2 linked regions of the Oryctolagus cuniculus genome follow. The protein of the gene in region 1 interacts with the protein of each later gene in a biochemical or structural test. Links are inferred from orthologs where the notes say so. Each region holds a gene or a part of one and is shown on either strand. Other genes may lie near its edges.

Region 1 (15,488 bases):
TCCAGCTCCCCTGGTTGGCAGTCAGAGGACAAAGGGCCTGAGTGTGGGCCAGCTCCCTTACCGTGAAGTGCCACAAACCTTGGAGCCCCGTGGGGTGGGCCGCCCCATCCTGGGCGCTGCACCGCAGTGTAGCACAGGGCAGCGTGAGCGGGGTGGGGAGCTGGGCGTGCTTCTCTGTTTCCTTCTTCTGGTGAAAGCTGCTCACTGTCTCCTGGGCTCCAGCTAACCCTCTGTCTGCCTTTTCTGCCACTTTGCTTTCCTGCCTCTCCAGATTTCTCTTCTTTAACTTCCTGCATTAACCCTGGGCCGGTGGTGGTTCTTCCGCGATGAGGCTCCCTTCCCTTCCCCAGCTGCGCTCATGCCCACTCCTGTCTTGTGCTTTACCCTGCCCCTGCTCCCCACGCCTGCCCGCAGCAGCGACGAAACGTCCATCTGAGGAGCCTGGGCCTTGCCGGCCGTCAGTGCCAACTCCCCCCCACCGGCCCCCTCACTGCACTTTGGACTCCTGGGGCCAACATCTCCAAGACAGAGTTTTTCAGAAAAGAGGAAAAAAAAAGAATTAAAAAAAAAAAAAGGATCTCCACTCTTCATGACTTCAGGGATTAATTTTTTTTATACGCTGGAAACTGACTCCCCTTTCCCTTCCCAAAGAGGATAGGACCTCCCAGGATGCGCCCCAGCCTCTCCTCAGTTTCCCATCTGCCGTGCCTCTGGGAGGAGAGTGACTCTTGGGGGCTTGCCCCCTCACTTGCCATCACCAAAAGGAAAGGACAAAGCCACATGCGCCCAGGGCTCAAACCCTGCCGGCGGCTCCCGGGCGGGCCTCAGTGTGGCGAGGGGTCACTCAGCCTGTGCTACCTCTCCCAGGAACTGAAAAGGCCCTATCCGGCGAGGGGGCAGAAGGACTCAATGCCCCCGGACCCCCAAATGCTGCATGAACACATTCGGAGAGAAGTCTGCGCCCCCAGCCAGGGGCCGGGCCACCCCAGCCCCTCTGCTGGCTGCGGGCTGCAGCCCAGGTGTTTGCTCAGTTTGCTGACCCAAAAGTGCTTCATTCTCCCTGCCCGCCCTGGCCCTGGCCCGGCCGGGGAAGGCCAGTCACGTGTTAAGTTGCGCTTCTTTGCTTCTTTGCTGTCGCCTAGGTGGGGCTGGGAGGAAGAGTAAGCACAGTGGGGCCTGGGGGTGGGGGGCTCAGTTGCCCAGGGCGGGCTTCAAGCACAGATTTCAGGTGTGGGTTCCGGTGTCCACTCCCGCTCTCCCCACATCCCACCGAGGCCACTTGGTCTGACTTGCTGTGGCCTCTGAGACAGGTTCGACTTTTAACCCCTTCTTGGAATTGGCTCTCTTCTTCAAAGGACCAGGTCCTGTCCCTCTTTCTCCCCTGTGCCACCCCAGCTCCCTGCGGAGAGAGAGTTAATATATATTTTTATTTATTTGCTTTTTGTGCTGGGATGGGTTCATGTCCAGTCCCAGGGGGTGTGGTATGGCCATCGCAGGTCGGGTGTGTCCCCAGCAGCCCTGGCTCGGGGGCCCAGAGCCCTGTCCTCGCTCCAGACTGTGTCCCCACCTCTCCTCCTCCTCTTCCTCCTCCTCCTCTTCATTTTGCCAACTCTGTTCATTTGAGTCTCCCTGTACTCTGAGCATGTACTCCAGACTTGTCCCTGGCTTTCCCTCTGGAGCAGGTGGCTAGCAAAGAGGCCAGGGGTGGAAGGGAACGTCCCTGGTGCTCATCTGTAAGGCTGGCTTCCAGCTTCCTGTGGTGGAGCGCCCCCTGCCCTCTCCCCTCAGCAATTCCTGCAAGGGGTTAAGAATGGAACTTGTTATTACTACTGATGACTTGACTTAAAAAGATACAAAGATGCTGGATGCTAACTTGATACTAACCATCAGATCCTACAGTTTGATTGTTACTGTAAATAGAGTTTTGTTGTTGTTGGCTTTTTTTCATCCCCCATACTACTGAATAAACTAGTTCTGTGCGGGTGGCGTGCTGTCATCATGTGCGTCTGTGTGGCACCCTGTCCTCCCAGAGCCTGGGGGCTGGGGGGAGGGCAGGCCTTCTCTGGAAAACCCCAGGAGGCCCCACAAGGAGGTCAGGGGGACTGAGACACCCGCTGGATGGTAAGTGGCCCCTCCGCAGATGTCCCCGACCATGCTCTCCAAATAGCCGCTTCAACAGAGCCCACGTCCTGGGCGTGTCCAGGGAAAAGGAGGCAGGTGGGCAGGGCAGGAGGAAGCGCCCAGCAGACAGGTTTCCAGCCCAGCCGCTGTGGCTGAGTCCTGGACAGGGACACGTTTTCTGGGGTGAATTCAGGAGACAGGGAGGGCTGAGTTGACAGGCTGCGGGGACCTGAAGGGCACTCGGTGCCTAGAGCCTTCTAACTCCGCTGTTCTGGGCCGTTTTAATTTTTTCCCTCCACTGGAAAACAAAGCAACTACTCATTCTGTAGTCAAGTATGTCCATCGTTAATTCTCGTCTTTAGTTCGGTGTTTGTCACAGTTCCACCCAACACACCAGAGAGGGAGTTCCCGGGGAGGCTGGAATGCTGGAACCCTGGAACCCGCCCGAGTGACTCAGTCTCTCTCAGCCTTAGTTTCTCTGCCTGCACAATGAGGGCGATGATAACAGCGGCTGCCTAATTGAGCTTTTATGAGAATTAAATGAGTTAACACTTGTAAAGTGCTTAGTGCAGTTCCCAGTAAGAGGCCAATAAACACTGGCGCTCTCGTTGCTACTGCATGTGGTGGCAGGAGCACATAGAGAAAACGGAAAGCGCGGCCAGAAGGCAAGGAGGCCGGCAGGTCGCTGAGCCCCCAAGTGCAGCCACGACCTGGCCGGGGAGGGCACCGCCTACCGACTGCTGCCTAAGCGGCTTTGGGGCGGGAGGGGCTGGGAAGGGGCACAAAACTGCAGACTGCGAGGAAGAGCGAAGAGTACAGCATGCCTTGCCCTCGCCAGCCGCCAGGTGGCGAGAGCGCATGCCTCTGCTGCGGCTTCGCCGTTCACGACCCGCCCGCTGGCTCAGACCCAGCCCACCAGCTCGTGCCACCTGCCGGCCATGCCTAGGTGGTTACCTAGGTTTGCTGACCTTCCATGCTTCGGTCAGAGCCAGAAGTCCACAACGGGCCCTGCTTACTGAAGCTGAGAAACACACCTGAGGTTTTGGTTTTTTTTGTTTTTGGCCTCATGCTACATTTCTCCAGAGCCAGACACTGTGTTTTGCCTCCCACCGCCACATCCATGCTTGGAATCCCCCAGGTACGTGCAGTTGCTGCAAGAGGCTCAGGCAGAAGTGGAGGGCTGGGCAGCTGTCACCGCGATGCAGGGGAATGCGTTCAATGAACCTTGAGATCAGCAATAGAAACAGAAAGGGGAAAGCGCCAGGGGCAAAGTGAGGCCGGCCAATGGGGCTAGGGGGTCTGCGGGCCCCTTCAGACATAGGTAGAACTTCCTTTATAAGCAAGCTATCAGCTGTGGCTGGAAAGCATGTCTCTAGGCCAACCGGCATCTCCCTCACTAACAGTTCCTTGTGCTTGCATGTGTGACCCTGCAGCCTTGAATCACACCTTTGGGTGGGGGCAAGCTTTCACTCAGAGCTGGCAGGGGAGGGGCTGAGCACCTGGGGAGAGTCGGACCTGCTCCAGGAGACCCTGGCTATCCTGTGTGACCTTGCGGTTTTAAATAATTCCTTCAAGTTAGTTGCAATCTTCCACCCAGAGCTAGCAGAGGAGGGAGCTGAGCCCCTAAGGAGACGGACTGTCTCCAGGAGACCCTGCTATCTCCTTGAGCCCCAAGCCAATCAACATACGTATGTGAAACCCCTGTCCAATGGGCATCCCCAGTAGGATGACCCAATGAACAGACGGCAATGCCTTAAAAACCCAGACACTCCCTCAATGCCGGTGTCCCACTCGGGCACTCCGCCTGCTCTCCTCTCGGACCAGACGCTTTCTCTGTCACTTGCCAATCAAAAAAGTTTCTTTTCTAATAAAAGTTTCTGGCCGGCGCCATGGCTCACTAGGTTAATTCTCCGCCTGCGGCGCCGGCACACCGGGTTCTAGTCCCAGTCGGGGCGCCGGATTCTGTCCCGGTTGCCACTCTTCCAGGCCAGCTCTCTGCTGTGGCCAGGGAGTGCAGTGGAGGATGGCCCAAGTCCTTGGGCCCTGCACCCCATGGGAGACCAGGAGAAGCACCTGGCTCCTGCCTTCGGATCAGCACGGTGCACCGGCCACGGAGGCCATTGGAGAGTGAACCAACAGCAAAGGAAGACCTTTCTCTCTGTCTCTCTCTCTCACTGTCCACTCTGCCTGTCAAAAAAAAAAAAAAAAAAAAAAAAAAAGTTTCTACCTCTTTGCAAATTCCCGGCTTTTTATTTCTATACTAAGCTGAGGAAAAGAACCCACCAGACTCACTCCGACAACCACCCTCCCCTCCATGACCAGTAACACCAGGAAGGCACTTCAATGTCTAAGCAGGGTGCTGATGGGGACAGACCATCTGGCATTCCCATTTGCCTGCTGCCTTCCTTAAGTTATGGCCAGGCCTTCAGGGAAGGAAACTCCCTCAAACCTCACCAGGGGGACAAGGTTGATCTAATGTTTAAGATACCTACACAGGGGCTGGCGCTGTGGCCTGGCAGGTAAAGCCGCTGTCTGCAGTGCTGGCATCCCATATAGGCGCCAGTTCTAGTCCTGGCTGCTCCACTTCGTTCCAGCTCTCTGCTATGGCCTGGGAAAACAGTGGAAGATGGTCCAAGTCCTTGGGCCCCTGCAACCACATGGGAGACCCGGAGGTGGCTCTTGGCTCCTGGCTTCAGATTGGCCCAGCTCTGGCTGTTGCGGTCATTTGGGGGGTGAACTGGCAGATGGAAGACCTCTCTCTCTGCCTCTCTGTAACTCTGCCTTTCAAATAAATAAATATATCTTAAACAAAAAAAGGTATCTGCAATTCCCATTGGAGTGCCTGCATTCAGCTCCCAGCTCTCACTGCAGACCACAGCTTCCTGCCAGTGTGGACCCTGGGAGGTAGTATGTGATGGCTCAAGTGGTTGGGTCCTTGCGTGGGAAACCTGGATTGAGTTCCTGGCTCCTGGCCTCAGCCTGGCCAACGCCCAGCTGTTACAGGCATTTGGGGGAGTGAACCAGGGGCTGGCAGCTCTGTCTCTCAAATAGAAATGAAAATTCATAAGGAATGAAGTCGGTTCTGGTTGCAAGTGTCCAAGGCTGCCTCCAATAGGAGACCCTAAACTAAAACTGTCAATTGAGTCTTCTCTATGCAATAACCCCCCACCATCTGGTACCCACATATTTTCTGAATAAATTAATGAAATGCTCTGCTGTGTACAAGTGACACGACCAGGGCAACGAAGAGGTGTACAATCCTGGTTCCAGCCCTCAAGTCCGGTAGGGGAGGTGAAGGGACACAGACGACTCGCATGATGTAATTGAGAAAGTGACGAGGTATTCCATTCCAACATCTGCTGGGGCACGCGGGGAAGCTGACCACGACCAGAAGGCCTCCTCTTCCCCACATGCAGCAGGCTGAGAAGCTGATAGGTTCCTAAGAGGCTCCATTCAGGACAGAAGTAGCTTCCCTAGGTCAGGGCTTAACAGCCTTCCACACTAAATTCAGCTGTGTGCAACTTTGATCTGGAACTTCTAACACTATGACTCCTGGGGGAAAGGCGGCCTGCTCCCATCCAATGGCAACAAGGGGGTCGGTCGCAGCCTAACTACTGGAGTGTCAAGGCCCTGGAGCCTCTCGGAGCCTCTGCCCCGGCAGGCCTACCCAGGCTCCTTCACCAAATTACAGAGAAGTTTAACTCAACTTTGTTAGAAACTGAGCAGATTGACTTTCAGGTCTACAGAGCATATAAAAATACATTTTATTTTAGAAAAACGCAGACTAGTGGAGTACGCTTGTCACAAACTGGCTTGTGAGAACTCACGGAATTCATAGGAAACGAGTTCTGGAGCCCAGGTGCCTGTCTCCAGCTGAGTCCAGCAGAGGCTGTGATTCAGGAAGCCTGCTCCTCCGAGAGCTTCAAGGTCAGCCCCAGAGGCCGTTCACAGGTAAATCACACGTCTGCATCCAGGCAGGAAGACCAACCTCTGGGGCGGGAGGCACGAGCGGAGGTGGATGTGGACCCCGGCTTGCCTGCCATTCTCATTTGCTGGTTGCTAATTTCACTGCTGGGGAGTGACCTCTTTTTCACTAATCTTCTTTCAACCCAGAGAGTTTGAGTCTCCTCCAGCTCAGCCCTAATCCACCTCATCCTCTCTGGTCTCTATTCCTGGGGACTGGCCCTGGTGGTGTCTCTTCCTCCCGCCCCTGGGCCAGAATCGGCTGGAGTCAGGACCTGCTGAGTGCAGACGAGTTCAGGCAGTGAGTGTAGTGCTTTGCTACCGAGTTCTTGCTTGTGGTCCCATCTCTTTACCTAAAGAGACAGCGGAGCATCCTTAAATTGCCCTTCTTCCTCAGCCCAACCGTCACCCAGCTGGGCTCAAGCTCCTCAGGGTGGGATGAACAGGATCCCTCCTACCCCGCTCCAGGCCTCCCTCCTCACCTCCCTTTTTCCAAACAGAATTCAAGGCTGACGTGCATATCAGCTTGGAAGTCCAGATGCTAGGGATGGTGCATTGGGGGAACCAGTCTTACCTCGTAGGTCCTGAGACTGCAACTTTCCTGGAGGGCTGCAGACTGTTCCGAGTGGCACCAGTGACAGGAAGATTTGGTCGCTGGGAAACTGGAACTTGATGGGGGCGGTGGGGGGAGGTTTACCAAAAGAGATAAATAGCAGAAACTTCAATTGACTTCTCAAAACCAAATCCCCAGTGAAGGCAGAGTGGGTCGGGGATCGGTATCCCCTAAAAGGTTAAATCCATGAGTATTTGGAACTCAAGGCTAAAATTCTTTGCCCAATCCCACATTCTCTTCTTAACTCAGCCTCCCCATCTCCAAATAGCATGGAAATACAGACAGTGGAAGAGGTTGCTGTAGCCAGCTCTTGCAGGGTAAGGTCAAGTTGGTCTGGTATAGGTATTCTTCCTCCCAATTTTTTACCCTCATGTCCACCTCCCCTCACCTCTGTGGCCTGCAGCACTTGGTCTGGGAAGCCCTTTTCGTGTCGACACAGAATCAGGAGGCAGGGCACCTTTGCCAGGTGGCCCACTCCGGCTGGCGAGTGGCATGCGGCTGGCAGGTCTGGGAATGGCCGAGGGAATCGGCAGGCGACTGGAAGATTTGGCAGCTGCTCCCTGTGGCCGGGGCGGGCGCTGAGAGTTGCTGGTAGCGGGCTGTGGGGCCAGGACCGTTCTGACAGGGGTAGGTTGGCCTGGTGGAGAGGAGGAGAGGAATTTCAGGGTTAGCTCCCCATCCTCCCTCCTCCCACTCACCCCCAGCTTTGCGGCCCAGGAGTTCTCACTTGCTGTCGCTCTCCCACCGGGCCCAGCCTTCCCCCGGATTGGAGGAGTTGATCGGGCAAGAGGAGAAGACGCTGGGCTTTTGGATGCAGGGAACAGATTGCAAGTGGGCGATTCCTGAAACACAAAGAGAGGGGGACAATGACTAGAATGGAGAAGGGATCAGTTCTGTGAGCCCAGGGGCTTCGGGGACAGAGGTTGGGAGCTGTTGAGACCACAGCAAGGAAGGACGGAAGTTAGCTGCTCATGGACACTACAGAGCTGGTACCCGGACACTGTGGCAAGCGCTTTGCTGTGGCATCTGTACCTCCAACAATTCTAGAGGGAGAACTTCCTGCCCCCGAGAGCAGACCACTCGATGCCTGCAGCATGTCACACGCAGTGCCTGCAGGCACACATCCCGCTCAGTCCCCCAAACTCACCCTCTTGAGGCCAGAGGGCCTCTTTCCAGATGCTGCCCGAAGAGCCTTGGTGGAGCCCTTCTTATCGGAGCTCCGGTGTCGAGGCGTCAGGCTGCTGGGGGAGGGTGTGCTCCAAGCCAGAGAGCTCACCGTGGGCAGCAGGTCTCGCACAGGACTGTCCTTCAGCACGAAGGTCTCTCGCCGGGGGCTGGGCTTCACCCGGCGGGACCCCAGGCTCTCGCCCGCGCTCTCGCGCTCCTGCAGGGCACACTGCTCCAGCTGGGCCGCCAGCCTGTTGGCCTCATGGAGGATCTCCTCCAGCTTTTCTGGGCTGAGGGGGCCCAAGCTGAGCCTCACACCCTGGGGCGCAGGGGCCACTGCATTCAGGTCACTTCGGTGGGAAAGGCCCCGTCGGAGTGGTTTCTCTGGAGTTGCCAACGCTGCTATGTCTTCCTCCTCGCGACTGAGACAGAAAACAAGGCACCATGCCCGCACGAAAGAGAGCAGGAGACAGGGACTCTGTGCAATGGAACCTGAACACCCCCCCAACACACACACACACACACCACAGTCCTGAGGTCCATGTTGGCTTCTGGGTGACGAGATACCTGGTTCCCTGAGGTCTAGCAGGGCTTTTACTCTTTACTGACATCACAGATGATGTCAGAACGAAGATGCAGCGAATCTGCTGCCTTTCTTAACATTCTAAAATCAAACTCCAGTTTCTCCCTTCTCAGCTCCTCATGGGTAGCATCAGAGAGGCTGGAGTCAGCCACCCAGCAGCCTAAGTGCACCAAAACTTGCCAACCCAAGCTCCGGGGCCAAGGACTCAGCAGTGAGCAGAGAGATACATAGAGGTGGTGTTGGAGGAAAACAAGTGGGATCAAGAGGCTGGTACCTGTCCGATGGTGACAGCCCTCCAAAGTCCAAGGTCTCATCCACAATAAACTTTACATCTGGAGGCCAAGAAGATTGAACGCCAGCTGAAGGTCCCTGACGGGGCTCTCAATCCCAGGGACTCATCTCCCCCCTCCCGCCCCCCAGGGTTTCCTTACCTTCCTCCAAATTCTCCATGTCTAGCCAGGAGAGCGAGTCAGTTCTGATCTCGGCTGGAGAAAAACCGTACTTTTGCTTAAGCATCCATGCTGCCCAAGGCTCCCGCTAGCCTCAAGGTGCAAGCCAGGGGCAGGGGTCAGGCAGGAGGCAAAGCGAGCGTCCCGGAGTAGCACCTGGGCCTGTATCTCCCCCTCCCTCTGGAAAAGTTGCAGCGAGCTGTGCCCGGAGGCTGTTTGCACGTCCTCTCCTTTTCCCCACCAGTATCTCCTGGGTTCTTCCTCTTCCTAAGCCTCCTTTCCACCCCGCGGCCCCACATCCACGCCACACCTCCAGCCCACCTGTTTCCACTCCCTACCCGACCTCACCATCCACAGAAGAGGCTTTGCTTCCACAACCTTGTCCCGGGAATCGGCTCCTGGGGGCGGGGCTCCTTTCGAATCTCTCAGGCCCCACCCACTCCTGCGGCACGAGCACAGTGATTGGTGGATCATCAGAGGTGGGGCTGAGGCGGCCGGCCGGAAGTCTGCAGGTGGGGGCCGGACCTGGAGCAGGTCCCAGGATGACTCCATCCGGGAGAGCGCGAGCGGGGCGATGGGGCAAGACCGCGAGCGCGTGCGCGCGCGCGTCCGGGAGACCTGGCTTCCACCCCCAGGCGGCGAGCAGAGGGGAACCTGGCCCAGGGGGGCGGGACCTCGTGGCGGCGCGCGAGGGAACGGGCCAATGAGTGTGGGCTCAGCGCGCCGCCGCAGTCGCGCCAGGGCGTTATTGGGCGGCTGTTCCGCCCGCCGCGGCCGCGGTGAGGCAGCTGAAGACTGCTGCTTGTCGGTGGGTCGTTGAGAGCAGCCCTCGGCCAGAGCGAACGCGCTCAGCTTGCGAGCGCCGCGTCTGCCAGGTTTCTTCACGTGTTTTTTTTTTTTTTACAAGTTAAGGAAGTAACTAAACATGGCCATTTTAGGTCGGCTCTTGTTGAGAGGTCTCCCAAGACGTACGTCCTCCATTACGATTTTAAGCAAGAACTTTGGAACCTGAAGCAGGCGAGGTGTGAAGGAAAAATTATGTTTTCTCACAGGGAAACTGAGGTTCGAACTCAACCCTGACGCTTCCGTTTATGAGCGGGGCGGGCTTGGGTGCAAAGCGTCCCGGTTGTCCTGACGGGGACTACGCGCGGCAGGCGGGGCTTGGCCCGCGGCCCGGCAGGGTTAGTCGCAGGCTCCCTCCGACTCCGACTGAGAGCTTGTGTCGGTAACGTGGAAGCCTGCGTACTAGGGATGTTGTCTGTAAATGGGCCGGGTCAGCTGTTAGCGATGCCCTGAGACAGGCTGAGGCCTTACCCCGTCAACAAAGAGCCCGAGCTTTAGTCCCCGGAGTTGGTGACCCGGAGGCGTCTGTGTTTCCTGTAGTGTTTAGCAGCAGGAGTGAGCTGGTGACTGTCAGAAATGCCACCGGGAGCCAAGGAGCCTTGGATCTTAGTGGGGTGTTAAAGGAAGGTGCAAATATATGTGAGGAATCCCAGCGGGGGGAAGAGGATTGGTGTTGGCTGCACGATTCGGGTTCTAAGTGATGTAGGCAGCCACATAGGATCAAATCAGGTTCCTAAACTGGAGACCACACCTTCACCAAGCCCCTGTGTGATCTCATGCCCCCTTAGGTGACCTCGCCTGGACACCTACCTGCCGATCAGACGATGTAACCACTCCCCCCTTTGGGAGCAAATAAATGGGCCTGGAACACAGTGGGCTCACTCTTGCTCCACACGCCTTTGGGGCGTGGGGCCTACTGGCTTGCTGTCTGCCTTGCTTTGCTGCTGTGTTAAGCTACCTGTGGCTGCTCATAACTATACGCTTGCTCCATGTGGCTTGCTCCTGGCCTGCTCTCTGCTTGGTATGGACCCAACTTAGCTTCTTTCTCCCCTAAATAAAGCCCTCACTCTTTTGCGCGTTTCTCTCACTGAATAAAATCCTTAAAAACTTACCATGTTAAAAAAAAAAAAAAAAACTTACCATGTTTGGTCTATTTGAGCCAGTATTTAGAATTATTCTCTGAATATGTGGCAAGAGCCCACAGGCTTATGAATATAGAAAATTATTAGTGAGCCGTCCGATATCATAAGGAGGGTGAGAAAACCAGAGCTAGAAGCTTCCCTGTGTCCAGGCGAGTAGTAGCAAAGTGGAGAGGAGGTTGCAAGAGGCTTCCTTCCCTTAGTAGCAGACCGGAGTAGGGAACTCCTCTTTGCACCCAGTCAGGTGACCGGGGAAGTAAGTTTTAGCAAATTGGAGGTGAGTTTCTTTTAAGGAAATTCATCTCCAATTTTTCTGTCACCAAGTTTTTATTTGGAAAGCTGTTGCAGTACCAGCAAAACAAAAACAAAAACACTACTTTTTCCTCCATCAAAATAACAGTAAAGCCGAAAAGTATAGATTTCAGGTACAAGAGTTCTTCTCTCAGCATAAGGCCACTATCTGGAAATATTTGATGGGTGTTGCGCTCACCTCACCCTAAGTAGTGAGTGTTTAAGATTTTGCATGAACGTGAATGAAGAAAGAAATCACACACACGGAGAGCCCGGCACAGGTATTCCACAAATGTCATGTGTATAGAAGAAAACATTAAGGATGCTGTGCCTGTGCAGATGCAGAAGGATTGACTGGGCCTGGAGGTCTTGCTCAGTGTGAGGACTTTATTCCTTCACTGTAAAAGTTGAGAACATACGACTGTTAAGGGATGGCCCTTAAGTAATTCAGCAGATAGCAAAGGCAGGGACTGAGGGCTGAGGCCCAAGGTCTGACTGGTCCTTAGAGCGTCATAACGAGGTTTTTCACCCCTTTCTGACCTAGACCCTGCTTCAACTAGAGGAGACCTCATAGCCCCTCTGTACCTGGCTGGCACTGCAGTCTGACCCTTCCCCCTCCATTCTCAAGCAGAGGTTCTGTGAGTACAGTAGGTCCTGCAAATGATTTGCATGGTTGTTTTCTCTGTTTTCCTGAGGATGGTGCATAACTAGTAACATTCTAGGTTCATCGGAAGAAGCTGATTTCTGACATACATGGATGCCTTATGGCCTGGGGGCTTCATTCTCATGGAGCTCCAGTTGAGAAGGGATGGAATAGACACATTCAGTTTTTCACTTGAAAATGGATGTTTGGTCTGAACAGAAAAGCCCTTCACACTGTTCTCAGCCAAATCATATTCCTTTCCTCCTCAAAACCCTGTCTAATGTTGTCTTCTACAAATATTTTCTTTCTTAAAACCCATGATTCCAACCTAGACCCTCTGCAAAGGTGGCTGGAGGATGGGGTGACAGAGGTGAGAGGATCTGGTTCAAATCATAGCTCTGCTGCTTGTCAGCTGCATGACCTGGGGCAATTTGTAAGCTTAAATTCGTGCTTGTAAAATGGAGATGAAAAGAGACAAAGCACTTAGTTCAAGCCTGATACATAGAAGGCTGGTTCAATTATCTATTATTATGTAACAGGCCACTTTCAAAATTTAGTGGCTGGAAACAGCAATCATATATTTGCTGTTGATTTTGCAGCTGGGGAAGGGCTTTGCAGGGATGGTGTGTCACTGCTCCACAAGGTGTTGACTGGCCTTGATGGGGGTGAAGGGTCCAAGGTGGTCACACCATCGAGGGCCTCAGTGCTGGCTGCCAGCTAGGATGCTCTGTTGCCCTCCACGTGTCCTCTCACAATTCAGCCATCTAGCCTGAGATTGTTTACACAGGAGCTGACTTCCAAGAGCAAAAGCAGAAACTACCAGCTCTCTTAAGGTATGGGCCCAGAACTGACAGAGCAACACTTTTGTTATATTCTTTTGATTGAAGCAAGTGACATGATTCACGGGAAAGAGACCTAGACCCCCAACTCTTGATGGAAAAAGCATCATGCCCAAAGATGGGAGCTGTCTTTTGTAGATTCCATTACAAAATGCCTTCAATATCTTACTTGTTGTAAGAATGGAAACAAAGATAAGGGAACCTCACCTTCAGGCCTCCCTTTCTGTTCTCAGTTTCTTCAGTACCATCTCAGCCCTCAGGTCTTAGGGCTCTGTCTTTAACTAACTATGCTTGTATTTCTGGTTGCTGTTTTGTGAGCCCTGTGCACTCTTATTACCCTAGAAAGCCCACAGAGGAAGAGAGCAAGTCATCTTCAATATTTCTCCTTAACACTCAGCACTGCAGAGGTGAATTCAGTTCTGTCATAGACTGTCTAGGGCAAAGGACAGCATCAGAAACCTCTGTGGAAGAGAATGTGGTTATGGAAAGAGAAGGAAGAATCTTAGGGTCCTGACATTCCAGTCAGGCTGAAAGATTCTAATTTTCACAATGTTTTCCCATATAGAAAGGCTCAAACAGATGGTTTTTTATGCACAGAGGATCCACACGTTTATTTAGATTAGTTCAAACCAGACATTGTGTTGAAGCTCCTTAAGAATAGTCTCGCCACAGGCAGGCTTCCTGGAGGCACTGAAAAGAGAGGGTCTGTTGTGGCCATGACAGCAAACAGCCAGGGCACATGTAGGACACTGAGACACTCCCTCTTCATGGGGCCTGGATCCCGTGCTATGGATTCACCACTTACCCTGCTTCATTGCTGGGCACTGGCTGTGAGAGGGGGAAGAGGGTAACTAACACTAACACAACACAGCATGAACACAGAGAAGGGGAAGCGGGTACGGAGAGAACTGTCTCCACAAGCCAGCTGGCAAAGAGAGCTCTCCCGTGAAGTCTGCACTTCTAACGCATCGCTTAGTGTTTTCGTTTGCTATCTATCAATGATAGGCTTAAACAAATGGTTTGTGGGATTGAACTCATTCTCAACTTTCATCAACCAGGAGCTGCAAGACATAGGGGACATTGGGAACTAGTCCTTTTTAATTTTCTCATGAGCTTTGTACACAATATTTCTGCTGTGAATGATTTAGAAGTTGAAGGAGCTGTCAAGATCTGAGTAATGATTTGAGTGTGAATGACAAGCTGAGTTACCCTATGCCAGTCATGTGCTGCCTGGAAACTACATATCCAAATATTTATTATTGCTATCCAGTAAAAATGGTGATTTTCTTCTCTTGGATGAGAAGGTATGCATAAACTTCAAAGTGAAACAGTAGTAAACTAATCTGTGTCTTATCATGCTTATGATCCCGAGGTGGGAGCACTTGATTGAGAGAAACACCCTCCTCTGTCCTTACCCTCCCTGCTGACCCGTGGTGGGGTGACTCTTGTCAGTTCCTCCACTTTTTTTTTTTTTTTTAATTTATTTATTTTTTTTTTATTTTTTTGACAGGCAGAGTGGACAGTGAGAGAGAGAGACAGAGAGAAAGGTCTTCCTTTTGCCGTTGGTTCACCCTCCAATGGCCGCCGCGGCTGGCGCGCTGCGGCCGGCGCACCGCGCTGATCCGATGGCAGGAGCCAGGAGCCAGGTGCTTTTCCTGGTCTCCCATGGGGTGCAGGGCCCAAGCACCTGGGCCATCCTCCACTGCACTCCCTGGCCACAGCAGAGGGCTGGCCTGGAAGAGGGGCAACCGGGACAGAATCCGGCGCCCCGACCGGGACTAGAACCCGGTGTGCCGGCGCCGCTAGGCGGAGGATTAGCCTAGTGAGCCGCGGCGCCGGCCAGTTCCTCCACTTTTCAGCTGTTTCCTTGGCATCCTTTCTTGCAGTAACTGTCCAACTCCCTCCCACAGTACCTCCCGTGAGGTAGCTGCTATCACTCTTCATTTCTATTACAAGCCCAAGGAGTACAAACATATAAAGGATGTGACAAACGTAAACTTCATCTATGATAAACTCCCTTCAGGGATGATAATATTAGCTTTTTAAAAAATGGCTAAAAAAAAGTAGTCACCGGTGGGTACCTGATAGAAAGGCTCAGAATACACATCTGTCCCAGAGTCGACAACATTAGCTATAAACGTGAACTAATCCATTGAGACACCCATCTCTCTTCTTACCTTTTATAGAGCACCATGTCCTCTTGGGTAGCTTCAGTGAGGAGCTGCAATAATTAAATCATTTCTTAATGTTAACATCTCAGAAATCTCTGGGAAACCTCAGAGCATTGGGAAGGAATATTCTCTTTCAGGGCTTTGGAGAGTTATGGTACTAGCTAGGGGAGTTATACAGAGAGAAGAATGGTACATGTAAATTCATGAACAGACATTTAGACAGTGCCCACCAGGGCTTGATTCTTGGGGGGGGGGGGGGGGACACAGGTAATGAGACACTTCCTGCCCTCACACTGCATACAGTTTAATGGAGAAAGAGACCTGAAACTAGGTCATTATGAAGCAACAAGCTAAATGCAGTTAAGGAGATTTGAATAAGGTAACAGGACTGGACAGATAAATGAATATTCTAAAAGGAATGGAGCTTGTGCAGTATTACCTTTAAACAAAGCAGAGGGGAAAGTTAAATAAAGCCTAACAAACAGCTGCAGCTTTCCTAGACTGAGTCAGAAGATATGTAGTTTAAAGGAACATGATCTGAGTGGAGGACCAGGAGATACAGGCTACTTCCCAACATAGTACCAGCTCCTCAGGTACCAGCCCTGGAGATCTTGAGTAAACCAGTTGCTCCCTGTGCTTTGTGTTTCTCCTCTGCAAAATGGAAAT
Region 2 (15,421 bases), on another chromosome or scaffold:
TGCCAGGTAGCAAATCAGGTGAGTGCCCATCTCAGGAGCTCTCACTCACTGGACGCACCACAGAGGAGGTGGAGCTACAAGCCCGGAGGAGGTGGAGCTACAAGCCCGGAGGAGGTGGAGCTACAAGCCCGGAGGAGGTGGAGCTACAAGCCGGGAGGAGGTGGAGCTACAAGCCGTTCAAGGGTGCTGTCACTGATTGGAGATAGTCAACATGGAGCAATAAATGGACAACCCATTTACTGGGAACACCAAAGACAATGAAGGCAGTGGGTTAAAAAAAAAAAAAAAAAAAAGCCCCAAACAAAAACCTTTTGACTATTTCTCTCAAGTATTTCAACAACATTTTATCTTTAGCACAAAGCGAGGAAGGCTGGGTAGAGAAGTAGCAGATTAAGAAATCAGAATAAAATGTTGGGATGGGATTTATTTTCCTTTTATTGGTTTGTTTGTCTTTCTATCAGCGCTTCCCGCTTCCTGTTACTGTCTACACAGCCTCTGGTACATGTTTCTAAATTCTATTTTCCACTCCATAAATAATCAAAGTAGCAACAAATAACATACATTTTAAAACTCTGAGAATCTAAATAATCTGTCAATTAGCCCTACGATAAAATTATCTGAAAGGAAAGAGTAGCACACTGAATCCCTTCACTCACTAGGTCACAAGAAGTGTCAGAAAATGACATCGCCTTCATACCAAGTTCAGAATGAAACGGTGAGACGCTGCACGTGTGTGTGTGTGTGTGTGTATGTCTGTGCGTTACAAATTCAGTTCAGTGGGATTTTTTTTTTCTTTTTTTTTTTGACAGGCAGAGTGGATAGTGAGAGAGACAGACAGAGAGAAAGGTCTTCCTTTGCCGTTGGTTCACCCTCCAATGGCTGCTGCAGCCAGCACACCGTGCTGATCCAATGGCAGGAGCCAGGTACTTATCCTGGTCTCCCATGGGGTGCAGGGCCCAAGGACTTGGGCCATCCTCCACTGCACTCCCTGGCCACAGCAGAGAGCTGGCCTGGAAGAGGGGCAACCGGGACAGAATCCAGCGCCCCGACCGGGACTAGAACCCGGTGTGCCGGCACCGCAAGGTGGAGGATTAGCCTAGTGAGCCGGCGGCGCCGGCCCAGTGGGATTTTAAGTTAAGTACATACAGAAATCTAAACTAACTAGCTTCCAGGAAGTCATTCCAAACTGGGCTAATTTGTAGAAGACTAGACTCATCTCTTAACAAGTACCTTCCATTTCTAAAAATAGAAAAAAACAATTATGTGATAAAGCTCTTTAAAGACACTGTGCTCTCCAACGTGGATTCAGGATCTCAGGATAGTCTTGCTACTAACAGTAATGTATCTTGCAAAACCTCTCGTTACGGACTGCACACGGGTAAACGGAAGCCCAGCTCGGGTCGAATCATTACAGATGGCGTGTACAGGCACCTGATGGTGCTCTCAACAGAGTCGGGGTCTTCACTCAGCCCGAAGCGTCACTACCAAGTGGTGGAATTTTGTCACATGACTGCTATCGAGCGCCATTTTCTCCGAGAAAACCAGGAGATGAGAGACTTAACAACTTGTTTCCTCGGTAAGATTTCCCTCACTCCTTCACTTAATGACAAAACTAAAGTCTCGTCTCAGAAATTTTGAAAGAAAATAAGGAATCTTGTCGGAATAGGTCTTTCCTGATTCTTATCGTAGTCCGCGTGTTAAAGGCCATCAGAGGGAGTTAATGGGATCTACGGTCGCACGCTCAGACCATCATCTTTCAGATTCTGCTGTGGTGGCAGACCGGTCTACCGTGGCAGAGGGTGAATGCGGCGATGCAATCCTGAATTTTCTTCCAGCACACACTGGCTGGCTTAAAGGAAGAAACAGAAAGCTGAACAGGTGGTCTCCCAACACAGCCCCCGCGTCACCTCACCTGACGGAAGAATGTCCCCTCTCCTGGTATGTGGATTGCCTAGTAACCATTGTGCACATACAGCATGGTGGGGATGGGCTCAGTGTGCGTCCTCCGGCAGAGCCCCAGAGCCTTCTCAACCTGCAAGCAAACAGAGTAAGAACCGTGGGAAACTCCTTGAGCGAATCCAGAACCAGAGCTGCCCGCGGGGTCTCGGCACTTGACGGCAAATCCAGAGGGCTGCGGACGCAGATCAGTTCTTTGACAAAATGCTTTCGTCACTTACGTATTAATCTCCAAGATGAAATCAAACGTGATTTATTTTCAGGATCCCTCCCTCCCACCGGATGGCAGCTTTACAAAAAAGATTAAGTGAAGAAAAGAATAAATCACACATTCAGGACTTGTAGGTATGCACGAATTCTTCTTCCTCTGTTGAGAATATATTCCCAGACTGGCTCCACTTGTTTCTGACACCATGATCACCTATTCTCTCTAAAGAGGACTAAAACGAGAAAGCTTGTGCATTCGATACAGAAGGTGGCCGGCACGAAAAAGCAATCTGCGGTGATTCTACCTTTAAAAGCCACTCTTCGTGTTCTCCGAAGACACCAAGCCCCTCATGCTGAAACGGACTCCTCTATGAAGAAAGACGGCAGACTCAGAAAAACCTTAACAGTCTTGCCAGCTTCCCCGGGATTCTGAGAACACTCATGTGTATGGCGCGCTTCCTCCCTGCCGACGAAATCCTAGCTCTGCGCTCCACTAGGGTTAGGGCCACATGCACAGTGACTTCCACACAGCAGGAATTACGTATGGGAGCCCCGCCGCACCGCTGCGTGGTGTGTGGTGTGCCAAGCCCTCTGTCACCTGCACCTTCAGGAGAGGCAGGGCCAGGCCTCCCGCCGGCTGCAGGTCTCCATCCCGGCACAGGCACAGCCCCGTCTGCCTCGTCCTCTCTTCTCACCTGACTCTCCCTTGTCACACTTCTTCAGGGAAGGCAGAGAGCTTACCAACTTGTACTTGGAAACAGAATGGGATTTAAAACTCTAGTATTTCTAACTACATGAGCTCGACACGATCAGATTGACTCCTACAAGGCACTGTGTAAAACGCACAGAACCACGTTCCGTACGTGCCGGATTCTAAGACTTGGGCAGGAACTTGGAGGCTGGCCCTGGTGCTGTCTTGTACACCGGTCAGCAAGGAAGCGCCCACAGAACAGCGGCAGGACGGGGCATGACAGAGGGACGGAGGAGCCAGCTCAGAGAGCTCCCACGGACAAGGCGGGATGATCTGGGCAAGGAAGCGCTTCAGGAAGTCTGGATGGAAACCCAAAGTGTCACGTAACTTTCAGTGAGTTCATACTGACACAAATAAATAACTGCCTCAGTTAAAAAATGGAGGAGAAAGGAAGCTTGTTCTAAAATTCAGAAGCGCATGGACAGTCCCCACCCCTGCCAAGGTGGGGCCACGTGAACCAATGACAGACGGGAAGCAGGTATGGAAAACACGTGACCTCTGTCCTAGCTTCTGTAAACCTACGGTGAACTTTATTTCTAAAATGGAACTGTCTCTGATGACGAGCTCACACGCTCCTGCAGAAGAACCTGCGATCGTCCCGGCGGGAGCTGCAGGACCACCCCGGATGCCTCCCGTCTCTGTGTGCCCTCACACCGTCTGCCTCCCACACGGAACCTGCGATCGTCCCGCGGGAGCTGCAGGACCACCCCGGACGCCTCCCGTCTCTGTGTGCCCTCACACCCTCTGCCTCCTGCATGGAACCTGTGATCGTCCCGCGGGAGCTGCAGGACCACCCCGGACACCTCCCGTCTCTGTGTGCCCTCACACCGTCTGCCTCCCTCACGGAACCTGCGATCGTCCCGCGGGAGCTGCAGGACCACCCCGGACGCCTCCCGTCTCTGTGTGCCCTCACACCGTCTGCCTTCCGCACGGAACCTGCGATCGTCCCGCGGGAGCTGCAGGACCACCCCGGACACCTCCCGTCTCTGTGTGCCCTCACACCGTCTGCCTCCCTCACGGAACCTGCGATCGTCCCGCGGGAGCTGCGGGACCACCCCGGATGCCTCCCGTCTCTGTGTGCCCTCACACCGTCTGCCTCCCACAGGGAACCTGTGATCGATCGATCCTTTCCCGCGGGAGCTGCAGGACCACCCCAGACGCCTCCCGTCTCTGTGTGCCCTCACACCGTCTGCCTCCCTCACGGAACCTGCGTAATGTCCCGGCGGGAGCTGCAGGACCACCCCGGACGCCTCCCGTCTCTGTGTGCCCTCACACCGTCTGCCTCCCGCACGGAACCTGCGATCGTCCCGCGGGAGCTGCAGGACCACCCCGGACGCCTCCCACCTGTGTGCCCTCACACCCTCTGCCTCCCGCCCAGATCCTTAGGGGCGCTGCTGGCTTCTGCCTCCCTGTCACCACCGCACACAGGCAGCTGGGCTCAATGGGAAGGGGCACGCAGGCCGGAGGCCGAGAGGGTAAAACAGCAGCAACTTGGTAGTAACGCCAGGAAAAGGCCTGGCGTGCAAGATGAGCGACGAAATGATTTCTCACACAAGCAAGACGCACAAACAAGAGCCCTTGTGGTGACTGCACGCGACCGACTGGAGTCAGACGAACGCCCGCTGAGTACCTGGCCTGCGCGGCCCGGTGCTTGTCGCGGCCACGGCAGTCACCTTTGTGTGATGTCCTAACACAGTGTTCTGCAGACCCCCAGTGAACTTTAAGATTATTTATATATAATCACCATAGGTTTAAACCAAAACAGCGCCTGTGGCATGTGCCTGTGTGTTGATATTCATGGGGTAAGACGTGCGGGACACACACATGACCCCGGCCACCTCGTCACTTGGAATCACAGAGGACAACGATTTACCAGAGAACCGTCAACAGTCAAGTGACTAGTGTCCTCTGGCTATTTCATGAGATCTGCATCTAACAGAGTACAGCTGTTCACCTGTGCACAGAAAAGGGGCGGGGAAGACTGCAATTTAAAAGCAAATGCAGCATCCAATGGTAAAGACGCCTATTAAAAGCCACCGAGGAATTCCAGAGATGAGAACCGGCAAAGCCCCACTCCCCCTGAGGGAGCGCACGCTTCAAAATCTAATACGGTCCTGCAAGCCACCTACGCAATGAAGGGACACGGCCAAGGAGGCCAGTGTCCCGACAGCGGATGCACGTGTCAGCCGTCCTACACCAGGGTGGCTGTGGACCCAGGAGAGGACAGTCTTCAGAGACTCCAGGCTTCAGTCAGAAAACAAAAAAGCTGCACACAAACAAGCCTGCACAATCAAAATGAACCATTTTCCCAACATACGTCGTTTTACCCAAAGTCTCACTGCCAATGCTAATACTATGCGTCGGTTTCGCTAATGCATCTTTTCCCACTCCACGTGAGATCAATAGAAAACAGGCTTCCAGCTTTTATACCCTGGACCATATTAGAAACTACAAATTTAGGGATTTAAATACATTACCACCTGATTTCCATAGAGCTGCCACGTGAACTTCATTTAAAGGTAAGACTTCTCACTTCTTACAGTGGACAGAAAAAAGTCTATGCTGATAGGATAAGGCGAATGGTAAAAACAACCATGAAACAGGGGTGTTCAAGACCTGCCCAGCATCACACAACCGTCACCAAGGCTGGTCGCACATCTCGTTTCTCTGGAATAACTGATTCATGGTATTTGTGGTATTTAAGGTATGTATGGTTTTTCTGTTTATTATTCTCACTGAGAGTCCACGCATTTTCTGAGCAGGTGACACAAATCAGAACTGTGCCTTCTGATTGCACACCAGCTAGGAACAAGGCAGCAGAGTAAATCACGGTGCAGGCCGCTAAGGGAGTGAAGTCAGTGGCTCTCGGACATCCTGCAGCAAACACCGAGAGGCCAGACCAAAACACACGAGGGCTGCCCAGCCCTCCTGGTGTGCTCGAGGGCCCAGCACCCAAAAGAAAGTCGATGTGTTATGTCAGCGTCACTCGCTACAACCAAGGGCTGATGTTCCTAAGCCAGTGAGGGGATTTCTACTTCCGCCCCGTTACTGGGCATCCGTATACCTCAGGATTTATTATCCACGACTTATCTATGAGTCACCCGAGTTCCAGTAAAAACACACACATTCATGAAACGTGGATGAGGCAATAGAGGAAGATTGAAAACTCACTTATCCAGATCCAGCTCGAAGCTTAAGTCACAAACACTATAAACGACGAGGTCTGGTTGGCCCTGTCTTATTAACCACGTCTGCCAGTATCGGCTTAGCAGCCTCCTATGTCGCTGCCTAGGGAATCTGTGGGAAAGAGGCCATCGCTCCACTTGGGGAGTGCACTTGGCTTCGCCTCCCTTGCTCAGAGTGAAGAGAGAGGCTGGAACTCAGGTTAGCAGCGATGAGAATATCAACTCCACCCAACCTGGACTTTTTACAGATGGTTTAAACCTCTGCACCACCAAAGTCAAGTGAGAATGAAATAGACACACCTTATGCAGCACGCTGACTAATTGAGAATGACATCACTTTCAGTATAGAAAGCACAAGTCTTGGCCATAATACATCTAGTGATACTGAACAGGTATCGCTGAATATCTTCCATTAAAAACAATTCTGCAGCAGGTGCTCGGCCTGGCAGTTAAGATACCAGCGAAGATGCCCACAGCCCGCATCCGAGTGCCCGGGTTAGATTCCCGGCTTCGGCTACTGATCGGAGCTTCCTGCCAGTGCAGACTCTGGGGGCGGCCGTGGAAGTTCAAGAAGCTGAGTCCCTGCTGCCCCTGTGGGCGACCTACATTGAGTTCCAGGTTCCTGGTTCAGCCCAGGCCAGCCCCGGCCACTGCAGGCCTTTGGGGAGTGAACCAGAGGATGGAAGCTCTCTCCAACAACAACAGAATCCATTATCCCCTGTGTGATCACAGATGTGTGTCTGGTTACCAAGCAAACCAGATGATTTATTTTTCCCCCAAAAAACCAAGCAACTGGCAACAGAATTAACACCAAGGTAACCGCCAGGTTGAAACACATCAACTACCTAACTGACCGTGTCGGTAAATAAAAATACTCACATATTTCAGATGTTCGGCTTCACCTACATCAAACATTCTCAATCATGCTAACATTAGAAACGTGACAGACGCTGACAATTCTACTGGACATTCCCTAATCTTAGAAAAAGCATGAGAAATCGAGAGGGCACACGAAATACTGCTGAAGCAGTGAGAACGACCTGGCTAGACAACCGGAGAAAGCAAGGTTCTTTCTTTACCTCAAAGCTGGAGAGGCCCTGGGTCCCTCGCCTACCATCTTAGCTGGCAAAACCCCTCAGCAAAGTAAACATCCCAGAAACCTAGTGCCTCAGATGCTGACTAAACGTGAAACAGGAAAAGGTTTGCAAAGGAAACACACCTCAAATGCTCTAGCACGGCAGAGTTTTAATCATTCGATGTCTCTGGTGATCTCCATACGGCCACAAACACAAGTGCACCTGAAAAGGAGCTACCCCTGGCTCCCCACACGCACACCCAAGGCTGCCTTCACCCTCCCTCGGAGCAGCACCCTCGTTACAAGTCTCCCACATCCTCCCTCGGAGCAGCACCCTCGTTACAAGTCTCCCACGGCGTCCAGGTCTCCAGACCCCGCTACAGTGTCTTCAGCCACATGTAGAGAATCAGCAGAGACGTCGTGGGAGCAGAAGGTCTAGTGACCCAGAGGAAGTCACCAATCTGAATCTCTCCCAAGAACGTCTTTGCGCCAGAAATTCCCTAAGTGGTCAGCAACATCAGAACAACTCGGAGGCGAACAGGCTGCCTTTCACTCTTGCTACGGGAGGTGACAAAGTCGCGGCTGCCGTGAGACCTGACTTCCGAGTCCGCCTCGCGGGGACGACACTAACGCTCACTTACCTTGGGCGGATCTGCGAGGCAGCGGCACACCACGCAGCGGCACGTGAACTAGACACGCAAAGTCTGTAAGAGCTGTGAAGCGAGAATCTCGTTTACGAAGTGTTGCCACTGGAAGCCCCACATACTTCAACACATCAAACGATCTCTCTGGTTTGGTGTTTTTTTTTTTTTTTAATTTTTTGAGTGTCAAATGACTTAATAACACATTGTGCAAAATTCTATCAGTTCTAGAAGATCTTCGGTGTAACAAACTCCAGTCCCTTCCTAGTCCACCTGTATCGGTCACCCAGAAGCCGAGTTCACGGTCCCCAAGTGCTCCCACTACTGCTGCCTGCACGAGGAAGGTGCACAGATCCACTTCTTAGTAGGAAAAAAAATCAAAATTATTTCCTAAAACAAGCCATTAATTTCCCTTCCCCTACCAAAGGCCGTCCCCTAGCAAACCCCAAAGATTTCCTGGTGGAGGAAGAGGCAAGGGGACACGGGAAGGGGTCGGGGAGAGCAGTAAACTGCGGGTTAATTAACACGCAGGGTCCTTCAGAATTAACGAGCAATTAACACGGAATTGAGGAATTCCTCCGAGAGCAAGGAAGCGGGGGTCGCTACCCGAAACCTCTCAAAGCCACAGGGCAGAGCTCATGCAAAACGCGGAAACACACGGGGCCGGGCCCTCGCAGGGGTGAGAGCCGGCTCCGGCGTGCAGGAGTTATCGGGGCGCCGGGGTCACGCGTGGGCAGCGGGGCCGGGAGAGGGTGCACTCCCAGGCAACTGCCCCCCAAATGCAGCCCCGCGCGGGGGGGGGGGAGGCAGGGATGAACAATGGGGGAGGGGAGGCCCGGCTCCTTACCTGGCCGCAGATGCTGGTGCCCGGCTCCCCGCCGCCGCCGGCTCCCACCTGGAAAACAGCAGCGGCGAGGAGGGGGCTCGCCCCCGCCCACCCTCCCGGCCGGCCCCGGCCCCCCGGCGGAGGTAACTGACTTTACCTGTCCCCTCAGCTGCGGCCCCTCTCCCTCCTTTGCGTCTCCTCCACACTCGCCAACTTCTCCATTGAAGAAACACCCCAGGCAGGGCCGGACGCGGGGGCTCCCCTCACGGCCCCGAGCCGCCGAGCATCCGCACCGCCGAGCAGGCGCGGGGCGGCGGTCCCGGCGGCCGGGCAGCCTCGGGGCAGGGGTGCAGGGAGGAAGTCCCGGCTCGGGTGGGGGGGCAGTCCCGGGCCAGGGGCTCGGAGCAGGGGCTTGCCGCACTCCGGGCCGGAGGCTTCCAGCTGCGGAGGGACCCAGGAGGTCGCGGGACAGCGAGGTCCCGGGTCATACAGGGGCCCAAGTGCCAGCAGCGGGGTCTCCGGACTGGGGGCTTTCGGGATGCACTTTGCACTGGGCCACCCCCGCCCCCTCCCTCCAGCACTTTGGGGTCACTGGGATGGGACCAAGCCTTCAGCGACCAATCAGCGGCCGCCCTGGAGCCTGAGCCCGGAGCCGTAAACCAGGTCCGGGGTGGGTGGGGGTGGGGGGTGGGGGCGACTTGGTTGGTTGGTTGCTTCCTTCTCTCCTCCTTACCCCGGCAGCCCCCACCCCCTGGATGCCGTAAAGCTGCCTGCGCATTCGCGACAGTTGGAGGAGGCGTGCCGATCTGGGCTGGGACTCGTTTCTGATTGGTCTCACTTGCTTCCCCCCCCCCCCACCGCGGCTTCCCCGCCGTGGCTTCCGAGGCTCCGCCCCTGGCGGGGGGGACTCGAAGCGGTTGCTAAGAGACGCGGTACGCTGAACGCGGCCTCTGCGCATGCGGGGGGAGGGGCCATCGTGTACTTTCCGTGAACTACGGTGGCCCGGAGAGGGTAGGGCTCAATGGAATGGCGTTGCGAGTGCGGAGTTCCGTGAGCAGGGTTCCGGGCAGGTAACCGGGTGCTCTCGCTGGGCTCGGCGGCGGGGGCGGCGTGCGTGCGGCAGGCTGAGGGGCGTAAAGGCTGTGGAGGCGGCAGTTGCGAGCCTTGACCCGTCGCTCCCCAGCGCTTGGGAGACGCAGGTGCCTGGCGCTGGTCGCTCTGTGGTTCCCCGAGACCCCGTTAGCCACCGGGCTGGGGGTGGGAGGGAGGACCGGTGATGCCGGCCCGGGCGCTTTCCGGCAAGGGTAGCGACCTTTCGGAATCGTGTGTGAGGGGAAGGCAGAGAGAGCGAGCCGCGGACTCGGGCTGGGAAGGCGTCTCCTGGGTCCGCGGCGGTGTGCTGACCCGGCGGCTGTTCCCGGGCGCCGGCCCGACGTTTGTGCCTTCACCGTGACGGGGCAGGCGGCGAACGCGCAATGGCCCGGGACCGGGCGCCGGGACGTCGGGGGTCGTGGCCGGCTGGAAAGTGACCTTGGAGCGGGCTCCGCGGCAGGGCCTCCGGAGGGAGCTTTGCTCCTGACAGACGCTGCGAGAAGCACGGCCGGCGTCGTGGACGGGAGCGGTGCGGGGCTGCGGGGCTGCGGGGAGGTCCCTGGCTGCTCTGCAGTGTGCGAGGGATGGGCTGGGCTGGGGTTCAATCACAGTTGACCGTGTCCAGTGTCCTCAAAGAAAGCCTTCCTCCTCCGTGTATAGAAGAAACATGCACGGACATTTTGTGGCAGGTGGGGTCCAAGGGTGGCGTTTGTCCCCCGCGGTCATACCCAGCGCCGTGCACACGAGCTACCCGTGGATGGCTTAGCTGGGCCCTGGGCTCCGTCCTGTGCTGGGAAACTCCTGATCGAGGTCAGGCGGCCGTGCGGGGAGGTGGACGCCCTGACCGGGGCAGACCGGGCGTGCGGCCGCGCTGGCTGACCCCGAAGTCGACATGCGGGAGGCTTTCCGGGGCTGCTGGTGTCTGTCTGGAAGGGTGCGGGCGGGTGGGAGGAAGCGGAGCACATCCTGGGCACCCTTAAAGTGCCCCCGAGAGCTTATGGGGCCAGCGCTGCGCCCTAGCAGGTGAAGCCCTCGCCTGCGGTGCCAGCATCCCACGGGGGCGCCAGTTCAAGTCCCGGCTGCTCCACTTCCAAACCAGCTCTCTGCTGTGGCCTGGGAAAGCAGTGGAAGATGGCCCAAGTCCTTGGGTCCCTGCACCTGTGTGGGAGACCGGGAGGAGGCTCCTGGCTCCTGGTTTTGGATTGACGCAGCTCTGGCCATTGTGGCCAATTGGGGAGTGAACCAATGGATGGAAGACCCCCCCCCGTGTGTGTGTGTGTGTGTGTGTGTGTGTAACTCTGACCTTCAAGTAAATAAATACATCTTTAAAAAGAAAGAAAGCAAGCCAAGAGTTTAATTTATGGGACACAGAGGTGAGAAGACCCCGGGAGTCAATCTTGAAGAGCCAGGGAGACCGGCTGATGGGTTTGGGGACTTTATCCTAGGAGAGTTGAGGGCTTTTGAGAAGGCAGTGGGCATAGGATGGGCCAAGATGCGGCCACTCAGGGAGGCGCCTGCAGCAGGTGTCCAGGGTGGAAGGGGTGGGGGGTGGGGGTTGAGACAGGTGGGGTGTGCAGGAGAAAGCCAGTTTGAGGGCGGATGGAAGGGGTTGAGTTTGCGTGGAAGGGGCCTGTGGGCCTCCAGGAGGCATCGGGGACTTGAGCCCAGCAGAGAGCCAGGCCCTAAAGGTGGGGGTACAGGTTGAGTGTCCCTCGTCTGAAAACCTGAAATGTCCAAAACGTCACATTTAACATTGATTTTGGGGTTTGGAATGGGATGCTCCCAGCCTGCAGAATTTCCAAGATCAGAAAAACCCTGAAATCTGAAATACAAGCATTGCAGAGAAGGGAACTCTACCTGCAGTAACCGAAGATCTCAGGAGAGGCAGGATGGAGGGACTGAGCACTGAGCACCTGCAGGTGCCACGTTTAGGATAGCGGAGGAGGGGACCCCGGAGGAGGGGACCCCGGCAGGGTGGCCGAGCGCTGAGCCTGCAGAGGGAGAGGAGCCACTCCAGGACAGGCTGACTTGTCAAGGGTTGGCGTGTATTTTGGGGAAATACCATGTTTTTGGCAGAACCATTTTTTCACAGGAAGACTGAAATGTCTGAGATGCCCATTTTTCCTTTAAAGATTTGCCCCTTGGGCCAGGAACTGAACGATGAAATCACACATGGAAAAGCACACTGGTTTGTAGGAAGAGGGGCATCCAAACGTGCGTTTTCTGGAGGGACCCTCATGCATGGTAGCGGGACGTGGGCATCAGTTAATCGATAATTAAATTAGCATGCACATCTGGTGAGCCCCAACGTTCTCTTTCCCTTGATCTGTGTAAGACTTTTCTGAAAATACAAATTCTTGGAAGAACAGCCTCACCACAGGCACGGAGTGGAAAACCCAAGTTCTGTTTCAGTAAGAGCCAGGTTCCAAATCATACATGAAAGTCCTTCTTCTCCGGCCAGCACACCGTGTAAGGCCCGTGGAACCATGTGGTCTGTCCTTGCCAAGGAGGCCTTCGGCAGGACTTGAAATTCAGTAAATCTGTAGCAGGCTGATTTCTAAGCGGATAACTTTGTGTGGCCTGTGAGTGATGTTATAAATACCCAAACAGCCCTTGGCAGGGAAAAGTCTCCCTACCCCTGCACAGCTGAATTCACCCAGAAAGTGCAGTTATCTAAAGGTATATTTGAAAGAAAATACATCCGAGTGTGGGAGCAGCTTGAAACGAGAGGTTTTGCCCAGAGTGTGGAACAGTGACGCTCAGAACGAGATAATTCTTCCTGAAAAAAATAATCACATAAGTCCAGCTTTGAGGGGCTGGCGTGCGGCCTGGCAGTTGGAATGCCTGCAGTCCACATCTGAGTGGCGGGGCTCAGTTCCCAGCTCCAGCCCCCGATTCCAGCTTCCTGCTAATGCTGGTCCTGGGAGGCAGCGGCTGATGGCTCAGGTGGCTCAAGCAGTTAGATCCCCACACCCCGTGAGAGACCCAGGTTGAACTCTGGCTTCTCGCCTCAGCTCTCTCCACCCCACCCCACCCCCCCCCCCCAGCCATTGTGGGCATTTTGAGAGAGACTGTGGATAGCATTTGATTTGTTCCCTCTGCCTCTCAAATAAATAAGTAATTTTAAAGAATAAATGTTAAGGATGCCACATATTTTTGGAAGTACAATTTCTGATATTTTAAAATCAGCTCTTAGGTGTTTGCCCTGTTAACACTTCTCAACAGTCACGTTTCATAAGTTCAAATTTCTAAATTTTCCTTTCTCCTTCGAGTAGATAGTTGAATCATGGTGAGATGCTAGATTTCAGCGGGGCTGGAGATGGGTCAGCTCCAGTCGGGATTCCTCCGGGTTCAGTTACAGAGACAGGCGGTTTGGGCCGTGCTTGTCATACCTCCTTCTCCAGTGACACCTTCGTGTCTCGGTCCCCTCCACAGGGCTGAAACGCTGCCTGTGCTGCTAGACTTCGTCCCTGGCTCCTCCCTGGTGCCGTCGCTGGCTCTCGGGAGCCTTGATCTCCACGTCACACCTCTAGTGCTTTAGGGTTATGGGATTTCAGACATACGAGCGGCTTTAGGACCTATCTGCTCTCAGATTTTCCCAGTGTACAGTGGTATTTTGCTGTTGTGTATTGAAATGTCTGAGACGCCATTGTCTTACACTAAACGCCTACACTAAGCTGGCGGACCAGACCAAACCAGAATGGAGGCACCAGTGTCAGGTGCCACATAAGCAGGCTGGACTTGAGATGGTCCAGTTTTCTTTCTATTTTTTTTTTTTTTTTTTTGACAGGCAGAGTGGACAGTGAGAGAGAGAGACAGAGAGAAAGGTCTTCCTTTGCCGTTGGTTCACCCTCCAATGGCCGGCACACCACGCTGATCCGATGGCAGAAGCCAGGTACTTATCCTGGTCTCCCATGGGGTGCAGGGCCCAAGGACTTAGGCCATCCTCCACTGCACTCCCTGGCCACGGCAGAGAGCTGGCCTGGAAGGGGGGCAACCGGGACAGAATCCGGCGCCCCGACCGGGACTAGAACCTGGTGTGCCGGTGCCGCAAGGCGGAGGATTAGCCTAGTGAGCCACGGTGCCGGTGAGATGGTCCAGTTTTCTAAACAGCCAATGACTTCAGAGGGGACCTGGTTTACCCAAACCATTGAGATACGGAAGTTTCCCTTCAGGTGGTTTTTTTTTTTTTTTTTTTTTTAACATTTATTTATTTTTACTTGAAAGAGCTACAAAGAGAAAGGAAACGAGACGGACAGGAGGTCATCCAACCACTGGTTCTCTCCCCAGATGGCTGCAACGGCCCGGGGCTGGGCCAGCCCAAAGCCAGGAGCTTCTTCTAGGTCTCCCACATGGATGCAGGGGCCCAAGCACTTGGACCATTCTCTGCTTTTCCCAGGCCATTAGCAGGGAGCTGGATTGGAAGTGGAGCAGCTGGGACTCAAACCAGTGCCCATATGGGATGCCAGTGTCTCAGGTGACTGCTTTCCCCACTATGCACGGGGCCGACCTTGTTTTACCAAGTAAGGAAAGTCTCTTGGAAACAACCGATCCACTTTTTCTTCTCCCTTTCCTGCTTCTGCCGCCCTTCCTCCCTGTTAAGCCCCTCCTCTGCTCAGCTTCCCAGAACCCTCTCTAAGAGACATGCTGCCCATTTCACAAATTACCCTCTCTAAGAGACATGCTGCCCATTTCACGAATTGCTAATAAAAGCCACTTAGATCTTCAGATTGGTTGCAATTTTTAACACTGGAGTGAAATTTACAAGTTCAGTTTCACAACATTTACTGATTATAGAACTGGACAGTATTGAACTCCAAAAGGAATGAAACAGAGTAGTGAGAGAAGTGAATAAATGATGTGAATGATTATGTAGAGTGTCTTACAGTTTGGTCCCCTGTTCAGAGTGCTGGGGACCAGAGTGGTGCAGATTTTGGACTGTTTCCTCTTGGATTTTGGCATATTTACATGTAGAATTGAGAGCATCCCTAATCCAAAAATCCGAACTCCAAAGCCCTCTGGAATTCAGTGCTCAGAAATTTCGTATCAGGGGGCCGGCGCTGTGGTGCAGCAGGTTAACACCCTGGCCTGAGGTGCCAGCATCCCATCTGGGCGCAGGTTCTAGTCCCGCCTGCTCCTCTTCTGATCCAGCTCCCTGCTATGGCCCGGGATGGCAGTAGAAGATGTCCTAAGTCCCTGGGCCTCTGCACCCAAGTCGGGGACTCGGAGGAAGCTCCTGGCTCCTGGCTTCGGATTGGTGCAGCTCCAGCCGTTGCGGCGGCCATCTGGGGAGTGAACTAGTGGATGGAAGACCTCTCTCTCTGTCTCTACCTCTCTCTGTAACTCTGTCTTTCAAATGAATAAAATAAATGTTTAAAAAAAAGTATCAGATTTCAAGTATCAGATTTCAAGTTTCAGATTTTTGGGTGAGGGGCACTCAACCTGTAGCAGCCCCAGCACCCATGTGTTGAGATAGTGTGTGTGCCAAGTGCTGGTTCCATGAGGGCCCAGGTGGCTCCTGGGAGCTGACTTGTCTCCTGATTCCCAGCTCATCCATACTCCTGGCCATTTGTTTTTCCCTCAAAATCCCGTCTTCAAGTTGCAATAATTTTTCAAATGATTCATCATAAGGAGCATCATATTGCCACAATTTCATAGAATGTGCTACAAAATCATTCCAAATTCCTT

The links.
Region 2: of the proteins of PSRC1 (region 1) and ASB7, one has a biochemical effect on the other in vitro, tested with the Homo sapiens proteins (2 studies listed by BioGRID, with this or other methods). The link is inferred for Oryctolagus cuniculus from reciprocal best matches to the Homo sapiens genes PSRC1 and ASB7.

What each region holds. Positions count from the first base shown.
Region 1 is NC_091438.1:61,141,703-61,157,190, reverse strand, and holds PSRC1 (proline/serine-rich coiled-coil protein 1), read right to left. Parts: upstream 9,308-15,488; 5' UTR 9,248-9,307; coding exon 9,235-9,247; exon of another isoform or gene 9,218-9,234; intron 8,933-9,217; coding exon 8,879-8,932; intron 8,780-8,878; coding exon 8,722-8,779; intron 8,287-8,721; coding exon 7,845-8,286; intron 7,540-7,844; coding exon 7,425-7,539; intron 7,335-7,424; coding exon 7,086-7,334; intron 6,753-7,085; coding exon 6,659-6,752; coding exon of another isoform or gene 6,655-6,658; intron 6,438-6,654; coding exon 6,434-6,437; 3' UTR 5,863-6,433; downstream 1-5,862. Other genes in the region: CELSR2 (cadherin EGF LAG seven-pass G-type receptor 2), read left to right, coding at 272-299. UniProt on the Homo sapiens protein: Required for normal progression through mitosis. Required for normal congress of chromosomes at the metaphase plate, and for normal rate of chromosomal segregation during anaphase. Plays a role in the regulation of mitotic spindle dynamics.
Region 2 is NC_091443.1:9,934,377-9,949,797, reverse strand, and holds the start of ASB7 (ankyrin repeat and SOCS box protein 7), read right to left. Parts: upstream 9,461-15,421; 5' UTR 8,799-9,460; intron 8,711-8,798; 5' UTR 8,663-8,710; intron 7,888-8,662; 5' UTR 7,816-7,887; intron 2,033-7,815; 5' UTR 1,913-2,032; intron 1-1,912. UniProt on the Homo sapiens protein: Probable substrate-recognition component of a SCF-like ECS (Elongin-Cullin-SOCS-box protein) E3 ubiquitin-protein ligase complex which mediates the ubiquitination and subsequent proteasomal degradation of target proteins.